3 linked regions of the Oryzias latipes genome follow. The protein of the gene in region 2 purifies or fractionates together with the protein of the main gene of each other region. This does not show direct contact. Links are inferred from orthologs where the notes say so. Each region holds a gene or a part of one and is shown on either strand. Other genes may lie near its edges. The genes, in order: dcaf1, cops8 and ddb2.

Region 1 (3,257 bases), on a different chromosome or scaffold from region 2:
TATAATAATTACTTCATAGTGCTTTTTAGGCAGAAATGCAAACAAATATCCATAAATAAGAATGTGCTTTTTAACAGGCAGCTTTTATCCACTAATAATATTTTGAACAAGAAAACATTTTTATATTGAATGATTTCAGGTTACCCTAATACATTGAAAATGCAGATTTTCCAAATATAAATAATGGACGTTTACTTTTAGGGAATTCAAAATGATTTTAAAATATTTACCTGTTTCCAATATTTTTATAATTGTTTCTTTTTAGGATGGTTCTCTCCTCTTGACATCAGCCTCTTGGAGTTATCCTTTGTCTGCACTGTGGGGAATGAAATCGGTGTTCATCATGAAGTGAGTGGTGTTTTCATCAACCTGACACACTAACCAGCTTTAAACCAGAATCAGAATCCGCTTTATTGGCCAAGTACAGTGCATATACAAGGAATTTGGCTTCTGTGTCTTGTGCTCCTGGCAAACCAAGCAAGAAGGTATATAAGAAAGTGTAAAGGGGTAAAGGCAAAAAAGGATAAATAATAAAAAAAGTAATATGAATATACGGCTGTGGGATTCTCATTTGGTAGTACCAATATATTGACTTTGCTTAACAAAACTCATAGAAAATGTCAGGGCCGCTGCTGCAATCTGTGAATAAAACCCAGGAATACTACAGTTTCTTCATCCAGTAAAAGCTTAGAATTCTCTGCTTCACAAGTTTTTAATGTTTTAAAAAGGCTGACAGGAATGTTGTTTGTGTGTGTGTTTTGTTTTTAGGCATTCCTTCCTTGGGGACCATTATGTGGAGTTCAGTAAGCTTTCCCAAGATCGTGTCATTGGAACAAAGGAACATGTAGCACGTGTATGTATAATTGAGCATTTCTTTCTTTTTATTAATTTCTAGAAGAATGTATACAATTGCAGACAATATTGCAGTGTAAAAAGGTGAACATTTCTTTCTTTTCTGTGCCAGATTTATGACATCCAGACCGGACAGGTCACTCTTACTCTCAACAACCCAGACCTGGCTAACAACTACAAGAAAAACTGCGCTACTTTTAACCCAACAGACGACCTGGTGCTGAACGACGGAGTGCTTTGGGATGTGCGCACAGCTCAGGCCATTCACAAGTTTGACAAGTTCAACATGAATATCAGCGGCGTGTTTCACCCCAATGGCTTGGAGGTCATCATAAACACTGAGATTGTATCCTTTACTTTGAAATATATTAAAATTTTCAGGCTTTGGAAAGATAAACGAGTAATAATTATCCATTTTAAACATGAAAGACTATGATATTGCATTTTTTACAAAATAAGTTTACACATAATACCCGTATTTTCCGGACTATAAGTCGCTGCGGAGTATAAGTCACATCAGCCCAAAAATGCATTATAAATTAGAAAAAAATAAAGATAAGTCGCACTGGAGTCGCATTTTGACGGAAAATTTATTTGACAAAATCTGAGACCAAGATACAATAACTTTCACAACCTCATATGACACAATCATAGCAGACTGTTTATCTCATAATTTCACAGTAATTCTTTCTCATACTTATTTATTTATTCCTTTCATGAAGCATCATTGGCTAACTAATACTCTGTTCTCATCCTGTATTTGTAGAAACAGTTGTCAATTCTATTGCATTTCTGAATCTATGAAATCATTGGAAAATAGATTATGTCCTTAGCCTTCAAGATCTTACTGTAAAAAAAGTTTGCTGATTCTCTGAGTCACTTAACATCCTCTTAACACTTAACATACCTCATACATCAAATTGAGCCAGGAACATCATCTCTGTTCCTCACAAATGAACATAACAGGAGGGTTAACAATGTATTTATTTCAATTTATTTCTAATATAAGTCGCTGCGGAGTATAAGTCGCACCCCTTGCCAAACTGTGAAAAAAAGGGGCGACTTATAGCGGAAAATACGGTAGATGTTTTTTAGACAGCAAAAATGCACAGAAGTCCTAAATTGAGGCGGTAAATGAAACTGTTTTTCTTTCACTTGAACCAGAATCGGCTGTAACATTACTGGTAAATGTGTGGCTTGCAAATTAAAATGTCAACAAAGGCTGGGAAAAAAAAAGAATATTATGCCACTTAACTGCCAGTTTTAGTGGGATCTGCGCACCTTCCACCTCCTCCACACCGTTCCTGCTCTGGACCAGTGCAGAATAGTTTTCAACAACAGCGGGACTGTCATCTATGGAGGCAAGTATACAAATCACCAGGGGATCGATTCAACACGTCCGTCCCACAAACTGTCAGGCCTGTTTACAGGAGAAGAGATCTAAATAACTCCAGTTTTGGAAAATCTGACATCACAACACAAAGAAAAAGACACTTGATATTAGCATTTCTAATTCATTTGGTTTTTGATTTGCCTTATGCAATGACAATTAAAAGTTATTCCAAAGTTGTTTTAAAATGTATAATTGCATGTATTTTGTAAAACAGATGGTCAATTTAAAATAATTTTCTTTTTAAATTAATGGTTACGGTAAATGTATTCTGCTGTTATTTGAAAAAGAAAGTTTGTCACTTCTATTTTTCAGTTGAATTTCTTTTAGAAATGCTTTAGAAAGTAAATTAAATTCAGCACGTCAGAAAACAAAAATGTGTCTTTTCAGTTGAATTTTCTGCCAATAATAATAGTAATAATAATATTAATAATAAATTATTTAGCAGATGGGGCAGAAAAGCTTCAGCTGCTTTGTTTTCTAACCTTGTCTGTCATTGTGTCTGTTTGTAGCTATGCTGCAAGCTGATGATGAAGATGAAATGATGGAAATGCAGATGAAAAGTCCATTTGGCTCATCGTTTAGGACCTTTAATGCTACAGACTACAAACCCATTGGTAAGATTTTCTAAAGAAGCTGATCATGATGTTTATGTGACTTTGATTTAAAAAGACTTGAATTTCTCAGGAAAGTGACACATCATTTGTTTTTGCAGCCACTATAGATGTGAAGAGGAACATATTTGACCTCTGCACAGATACAAAAGACTGCTATCTGGCTGTGATTGAGGTAAATTCTATATTTTGAAAGAATCTTTTTGGCTTGCCTAAGTTTCCAAAAATAAGCTATGTTATTGTCTTTTCAATAGAACCAAGACTCTGTCAACACTGACACTGTGTGTCGCCTCTATGAAGTCGGCCGGCAGCGACTTGCAGAAGAAGAGGAGGAGGATGAGGAAGATCAGGTTAAACTTTTTTTTTTTCATAAAATCTGAACTGAGAAGCAGATCTTATAC
Region 2 (3,756 bases):
TTTTTCCAAATTCAACCTTTTCTCAGGGTTATTCATCAGTGGGTAAACATGGAAACACATTCATTCTCAGGGTTTTATATTTCAAGGGCTTATCACATAATAAAGGGCTTTGTATTCTTATACCTACTTTTAAGTATTACTTATATTTTATTATGTTTTTGGAAACAGAGCGAACTGACCAGTGAGCATTTTAAATGACAATGACTATAATTATTCTATTCTAACTTTAACAAAAAGTAAAATACACAGGATGTCAATCAAGGGCAACAATGTAAGACCATGTGAAGAACTACAGACACATCTTTCAAGTATTTTCTCTTGCAAATAATTAAATGTAGAAGACATAGTGTCCTAATACAGTAAAAACATGTAATGTGAATACTTTGGCACTGGATAAAGATCATGTTGGTGTGTGAGCCCCGTGTCCTCAGCAGATGTTACCCAAGAGTGTCATGACTGTCTGTTTTTCAGCATGAATGGCAGATCAACAGCAAGCACCATAAACACCCAGAGAAGCTATTCTTAAACTCTGGCACAAACATCACATGACAGCAACACCTCAGTCTTCAGCCCGTCAGAATAAAAGCCGTAAGAAAATCCATCCGTATCAAAAACTGAGCGTGTAAGAAAATAAGCAAATATTCCATAAAGTGGACATAAAGCATCACAATTGGCCCTTCAGCTGTCACAAAGTCCAACTGGGGTATTTCTTATCCAATGAAAATCCTGAAGTCACTTTAGCAAACCCACAAGAGGAGCTTCCTGTTCCACACCAACCCCAGAGCACAATGTATGAACAGTACTAACTTTGCCTTAATTAGTGGTTTGTAGAAGAAATGATCAGATCATCTTAAAGAACTTAAATCAAGTCCTGATTTTTGTAATTACCTCGAAGGGCCTCCATGACTGGGAGGATGTTTTCCGACCACTGGTGAGCTTCAATGGCTGAGTAGATCCCTGGAAAGTCTCTCTGCCAAATGTGCTGGCCTACGGTCCAGATCGCTGTGAGCTCGGGGTTCGCCTGAATGGATCACAGAAAGACAAGTCCATGTTCCCGCACCGTTTCATGAAGGCAGGGGCTCTAAAAACCCCTGTAGGTGGACTAACACCTGAATACGGTGCCGTTTTTAAGACAGACAAACATCAGGAGTGTCTACGACTGAAGCCAGTCAGACTATTAGCAGCATAGAAAGAGAACAGTGACATCAGTAGAAGAAGTGGAGAGCAACTGGTACTTTTCATGAAATAAAGGGGAAAAAAAGGCCTTGTGATTACTCACCGATTTGATTACTTGTGGAACTCGCTTCCATAGATACCTGGCATTGTTCCTGTTAGACGCAATTCAACAGAAAGACATAAAGAGGACATTTGAGATGAGACATGCAGCTGCAGGCAGCAAAAATGGGATTCAACCGAACACAAACAAAGCTGTACAAAATCTTAGTCTCTCTTTTTTTAAAGATAGACATGTTTTAAAGCCTTGTGGTGTGAAGAACCCTTCTGAGTGAACGCTAAAGGACTTCCCTGAACACTGGCTCTAGTTCGTCTTTCTCTTTTGTTGTCCGGTTTGAATGCAGTCAGTGCATTGCTATGCTTGAACACTTGTGAGTGTAATGATGCTGAACAACAACAACAAAAAAAGGATTAACCTCAAAGGAGGCTGGGAAAAAAAGACTTTTGAAAACCTGAAACATTCAGAAACTCTTAGAATTCTTTCTGTGGAAAATCTATTCAGAGGAAGGCCTCGTTTTTTCAAGACAAATCGATGCATCTTCCAGAGGCTCGCGGGAGCGCGCACGCGCGCGCTTCACCCACATGTCGTTGTGGAGCAGGTAGAGGGCCAGCAGCTGCGCGTACACCTGCGGGGTGGCGATGCCTCCTGGCGCCTAGCAACAGCAGAGCGGGGAGGGGCAACGGGGGAGACAGGAGAAGCGAGTTAGTCTGAGCATGCGCGGACGTTGATCTTTCCTTTCTAGTTTTGAATGTAGTAAAGCCAGAGGCTAACTGAAGACAGTTTTAACGACATTTCTACACCGGGATATCCCACAGATTGCGCTTAGAATCGACAGCAGAGCGGATCCCGCGTCTGCACACATCGCTGAGTCTTTCTGTTCGTTCTGCCAACGACGTTCCGTTAGCGACGGCTAGGAGCCGGAGCGTCCTGACAGTTACATCGGCGCTAGCTAGCATCATTAGCCTCGGCCGTGGCTAAAACAGCCGAGGCGTCGCGCTGCCGCAGACGCGTCAGCGGCCCACTTCCCCGCATCACCCGGAAGCGTCTGCTCCTCACCTCAAGCTCCTGCGCCTCGCATTGCTCCTGTAATTTATCAAAGCTTTCCTCCATAGTCACAGCTGTAGGCATGATGACGCCTAGCCGAAGCGCCGGAGCTTCTTCTGTTGTAGGGATTCAAAGTAGAGCTTCCGGGGGAGCGACACACACTGCCCCCTGCTGGACGGAGTTTAAATGTATGGCTTTCTTCCAAGAAGAAAGAAGACTGTCGTGTCATACTGCCACCATCTACAGGCGTAAAAAAATATTTTCTGTAACAACTACCCTGAACAGTTTCTCTTACAAAATCCAAGGAAACAATCCTTTCTCTTTCTGTGCTGCCAGTTTCCAAAATAACATGGAAAAAATTCAAACGAGGATTTTTTCTCATCTTGTTTCTCATAGTTGAGGTTTACCTACCTATCATGAAAATTACAGGCCTCTCATCTTTTTAGGTGGGAGAACTTGAACAATTGTTGGCTGACTAGATTCGACCTGAATTCTTGAACTATTTTAATAAGATTAAATTCAAATGATGCAAATGAACAGTTGAATGTACAGTTTTATTGCAGTAATATTTTCATTAAATAAATATGAACCAAATTGACTGTGAATTCCACATTTGAAGACTACAAATAAAATAAAAGGTCTGCCCGCAAAATAAAAGTTGATCAACAATACATTTGGGTTCCTATGAAATGTTAAGTTTTATTCACTGTTAAATGCTCAACGTGAACTTCTAGATTTAAACTGTTTGAACAGGAAAACTTAACACAAACTGTTTTCTCTTTCAGTACAAACCTCTGTACTTTTAACACACACACACACACAAACTGCCATTTTAGAAATGATTCACTACAGAAGACTGAATAAAGAACTTCCCTGCACTAATGGGATGCTGATACTGAGATCTCGATTGCAGCAGAAAGGTCAGATCTGGCTCAAAGACTGCCCCCCTAGTGACAGACCCTCAGTCCCGTCCTCACGCGGTTCTTATTTAAGTTCATAACAGAGAATGTCTTCTCTCACAAGCATGGAGCCAAACAAGCTCAGGCATTTTCACAGCGAATCTTTGCGTCTGTTTAGAGCGGCCTATATCCAGTTCCAAGAGAGCTGGTGGTAAAACTTGACCAGAGGGAGCCGGTGGCCACTAAACATGAGACGCCACATGAACGTGCAGATGCAGCAGGTCCATCAAAAACCATTGGACTGTTGAAGGCATTCAAACCAAAAATTTAAAACACAAAATAAGACTTTATGCAGATGATGTTTACTATTTACTCCTAATTCACAATCTTCCATCTGCCAAATCATCTCCCTAATTAATAGATTTTCCTCAGTTTCAGAATACTCCATAAACTGGTCTAAAAGCACAATTTTACCAATTAATTGCAATTATCTAAATCCGTCATCTATTAAAATACAAACAGGCAACATAAAGTACTTAGGTATAAATATCTCCTCTAGGCTTTCTGATCTACTCAAGC
Region 3 (3,756 bases), on a different chromosome or scaffold from region 2:
AACACGAGTGTGTTGCGTCACTTCCGAGTTGACCAAATTCCAAAAATATTTTTGCAAACACGCAGCAGTCGATGTAGTCAATTACTTTTTTAAAAAATAAAAGTAAATTTATAAAAGTAAGAAAACTAATCAAATATTAGAAGGAGCGAACGTTTACCATGAAAAAAGACTGTAATTCTAGTATGCTTATGTTGCATTTTGGGTAGGTTTGTGAATTAATTTACTGATATGTACATAAAGAATGTTATTTTTGCCTGTTGCTGAAACACGACATAATACATTTTCATATGGCAGTTGTTCTCCTGTTTATGGACATGCTGCATTATGATGTTTTGCACTTTGTGTAATTTTTTTAAAGATTAGCTTTGTTGGTTGCTTGTCTTAAAGTTTTTAAATTATTCAAATTTGACTACTTTTTTAGGCATGTTGAGCTAATATGACATAACTCGGAGCCTTTCAGAAAAAAATGTTTTCAAATAAACAGGGGAATGCACCATTGCATGCTATATATGAAATCAAACGTTTGTTTAGTTCCACCTGATGCAAGTGTAGTTTATCCATCTATCTATCTATCTATCTATCTATCTATCTATCTATCTATCTATCTATCTATCTATCTATCTATCTATCTATCTATCTATCTATCTATCTATCTATCTATCTATCTATCTATCTATCTATCTATCTATCTATCTATCTATCTATCTATCTATCTATCTTAATAATACTAATAACAATTATTATTACTATTATTATTGTTGTTGTTGCATTTAATAATGGGTGATTTTTAATTTGGAAAATGCTAAAACTATATACCATTCAGAAATTCAGAATTGATAATTAACTAAAATAGGTTTAACTTAAAATCTTACATCAAATTGTCCAGTTAAAAATGCACACACACAAAAACATTTTAATTGTACTGTTGACTGATGATGTGCAAGTTTCACAGTGTGTAGCGTTTTCTTTAGTCTGTTGTATTGTATCAAGTTTTTAAATAAAGTTTCTTGAAAAAAGGGAGAATTTGTAAATAAACAGCGCCATCTATCGCGCACCAGCTGTCATGGGCTGAAGTTACAAAACATCTGCTGCCATTAGTCACGTGCGCTTCCGTGTTATGCAAACATAGACTTTAGATTAAGGCGGTTCTCTTCCACAATTACAGGTAAACTGCACATTTACGGGGTTTTCTAGAGGAAAGATAGAGAAGTACACAGAAGTGGTTTTGTTCGTGTCATATCGTCGAACTCTGACAGACATGAAAAGAAGGAAGAACACGAAACCAGGTGAAAATGGACCAAAGAGTCAAGTGAAAAAAAGAACTGAAGCAGACTCTGGAGCATCACTCTCCAAAAAATTAAAGGAAAAGATAGAAGTGAAGACCTCTGAGCCAGGTGAGCAGTACTAACGGGACTGCATGAGTTTACTCTGAGGTCATCATCCTGATTTGAATGAATTTCACTGCAGAGCGTCCACCTGTCAAGCCCCATACAGCTCAGAGGAGAAATGGCCATAACAGCATCCTGCACTACATTTACAGGAACAGTCTAGGCCAAAGTCTGCATTCTCAGATGAGACAGGTAAGTCAGTATGGACAGAAAGAGGGGGCTGTCTGCTTTAAAAATAACAATAATAAAAATGCACCAACAACAGATTTAGTCTGTCAAGTGTAATCTGGAACCCAAATGCAAATCAATGCATTGAAGTGAACAGAGACGGCAGACCAGTTGATGAACAAGGCGCCCTCTTCTCTAGGCTTCTGTCTGAAGACTTGATTGGAGAAGAAGAATTTTACTAAACAGAAAAAAATCCCTAATGCATTTTATGGATTTTACCCAATAGTAACAATCAGTTTGGTCACAAATGATAAAAAAAAAAATAGTTATAGACTTTTGTATTTATTCTTTTTAATTGGTGGTTTAAAAACAGATTCTGAATATTCTATCTGAAATGATGGAATGTTGTTGGGTTTTTTTTCTTTTTGCTGTTGCCTCTTGCAGTGTCTTCAGGAGCCCTTTGTCCGCTCTCTCTCCGCCTATCATTTCCATGGTGCTACCAGCCCCTTCGATCGCAGAATCACCTGTCTGGAGTGGCACCCCACCCATCCCACCACACTAGCAGCAGCCTCCAAAGGTGGAGACATCTTTCTCTGGGACTTTGAAAAGCCCACAAAGAAAAGCTTCATCCAAGGGGTGAGCTCCTGAAAAAGCACAGTTTTAACCAAAGAAGTTGCATAAGATTTTTTTTTCTTTCAGGATTTCAGCTTTTTGTGTGTTCGTGCTTGCAAAACGTCACACAACTCTGCACAACCATATGTTTTAGATAGACTTGACAATGCATTTTTCATTCTTCTCATTAGATTGATAGGCTTAACCACTTACAGTTTTTCTCAGTCGCTTTAGTACAATTCTCAGATCAGAATTAAAGTTTGCAAATATGTGTGTGCATTTCTCAAAACAATTTGTACAAACAGCAAAACACTATGGATTTCTTGCAAAAGCCTGTAACTTGCTCAAAATCTTTAGTTCATCTCTGAAAACTAAGTCTTTATGTCATTGAACATGTCAGTGCCATCAGAATGTCAAGTCCTTGTGTCATTGTCTACGAACAAGACAGTCAAATGACTTAGTCATGTTGTCAATATAACTGTGTACTTTAGAGGGAGGTTCTGATGTAAACTATGGCTAAAGTTTTGATGACAATTATTGTAAAACGTAAGTTACACCTTTTTTGTTTGATTGCAAGAGACTGGACAAGATTCACATTTACACTTTTATTATTCATATTGTAATTTGTTGACAGACCATGTCATACCAACATAGAAAAAACCCACTGCAAACAGTAACACAAAGGGAAAAAAAAGATAGGACAATATTCTGTACAACAGTACAGGCAGTGCAGTAGGAATTGGTGTGGTTTTCCGACACGTCTTGTCGTTCCTGTATGTTAGGCCACAAATTCTCATCCACATCACAGCGAATATCTTCGCTTGCAATGCAGCGAAATATGTTTGTCACATTATGACAACTTGGTCAACCATTTTGCAGTTAATGACTTATACGATGAACTAATGACTAGGTGTTTTGAGGAGTAAGACTATTGCACAGTGAACTATATAATACATTTTGATCAACATGACATAAACAATTGATAATGTAGCAAAGAGCAGAGAATTGTACATAATCATTTGCATGAATGTACCAAAGCAATTGCAACTTGTTCATAGAAGTGAGAAACTGCTTATATGATGTGCACAAGTGACATCATGATGTGAAGATTGAACAAATAGTTTTGGGAATTTCATTCTGATCTGAGAATTGTACTAAAGCGACTGAGAAAAACTGTAACATCCCACTCAGCTGGACAGCTCAGCTATAGGGGATACGCAGTGCTTCCACAGTCAAGTGCGACAATTCCAAGAAGTTGCTCTAGCACATATGAGTCCTCTTTGTCTAAACATGGCTGCCCAACTCTAGTACCCAAGAACTGCCATTCTATACTTGTTTTCCAGCTGTGCCTCCACTCTCTGATTGATGGACTTCAGCGCAGAGTAGTTGGATAGTTGGGAAAACGAGTTGTTGCTTCTCAGAATCGAAGTTGCTCAAGCCCTCGGTTTCAAGTCTCAGTTCAGCAGTTGTCTTATGTCGTTGCATTTCCTGCTTTTGTGCCCAGAATGGAGCCGGAGACTTCATTGGAGGGATGAAGTTCTGCCCTACAGACTCCTCCAGAGTGTATGTGGCAACCGGTGAGGGGAAA

Evidence for each region.
Region 1: the proteins of cops8 (region 2) and dcaf1 purify together in Homo sapiens (affinity purification with mass spectrometry; 4 studies listed by BioGRID and IntAct, counting the BioPlex papers as one, with this or other methods). This does not show direct contact. The link is inferred for Oryzias latipes from reciprocal best matches to the Homo sapiens genes COPS8 and DCAF1.
Region 3: the proteins of cops8 (region 2) and ddb2 purify together in Homo sapiens (affinity purification with mass spectrometry; 6 studies listed by BioGRID and IntAct, counting the BioPlex papers as one, with this or other methods). This does not show direct contact. The link is inferred for Oryzias latipes from reciprocal best matches to the Homo sapiens genes COPS8 and DDB2.

What each region holds. Positions count from the first base shown.
Region 1 is NC_019865.2:16,273,532-16,276,788, reverse strand, and holds part of dcaf1 (DDB1- and CUL4-associated factor 1), read left to right. Parts: intron 1-265; coding exon 266-348; intron 349-768; coding exon 769-853; intron 854-964; coding exon 965-1,198; intron 1,199-2,119; coding exon 2,120-2,213; intron 2,214-2,754; coding exon 2,755-2,859; intron 2,860-2,957; coding exon 2,958-3,031; intron 3,032-3,110; coding exon 3,111-3,206; intron 3,207-3,257. UniProt on the Homo sapiens protein: Acts both as a substrate recognition component of E3 ubiquitin-protein ligase complexes and as an atypical serine/threonine-protein kinase, playing key roles in various processes such as cell cycle, telomerase regulation and histone modification.
Region 2 is NC_019879.2:1,339,928-1,343,683, reverse strand, and holds the start of cops8 (COP9 signalosome complex subunit 8), read right to left. Parts: upstream 2,423-3,756; 5' UTR 2,363-2,422; coding exon 2,291-2,362; intron 1,887-2,290; coding exon 1,816-1,886; intron 1,329-1,815; coding exon 1,280-1,328; intron 1,022-1,279; coding exon 889-1,021; intron 96-888; exon of another isoform or gene 1-95. UniProt on the Homo sapiens protein: Component of the COP9 signalosome complex (CSN), a complex involved in various cellular and developmental processes.
Region 3 is NC_019864.2:16,130,733-16,134,488, reverse strand, and holds the start of ddb2 (DNA damage-binding protein 2), read left to right. Parts: upstream 1-945; 5' UTR 946-1,165; intron 1,166-1,256; 5' UTR 1,257-1,258; coding exon 1,259-1,394; intron 1,395-1,467; coding exon 1,468-1,580; intron 1,581-2,000; coding exon 2,001-2,192; intron 2,193-3,672; coding exon 3,673-3,756.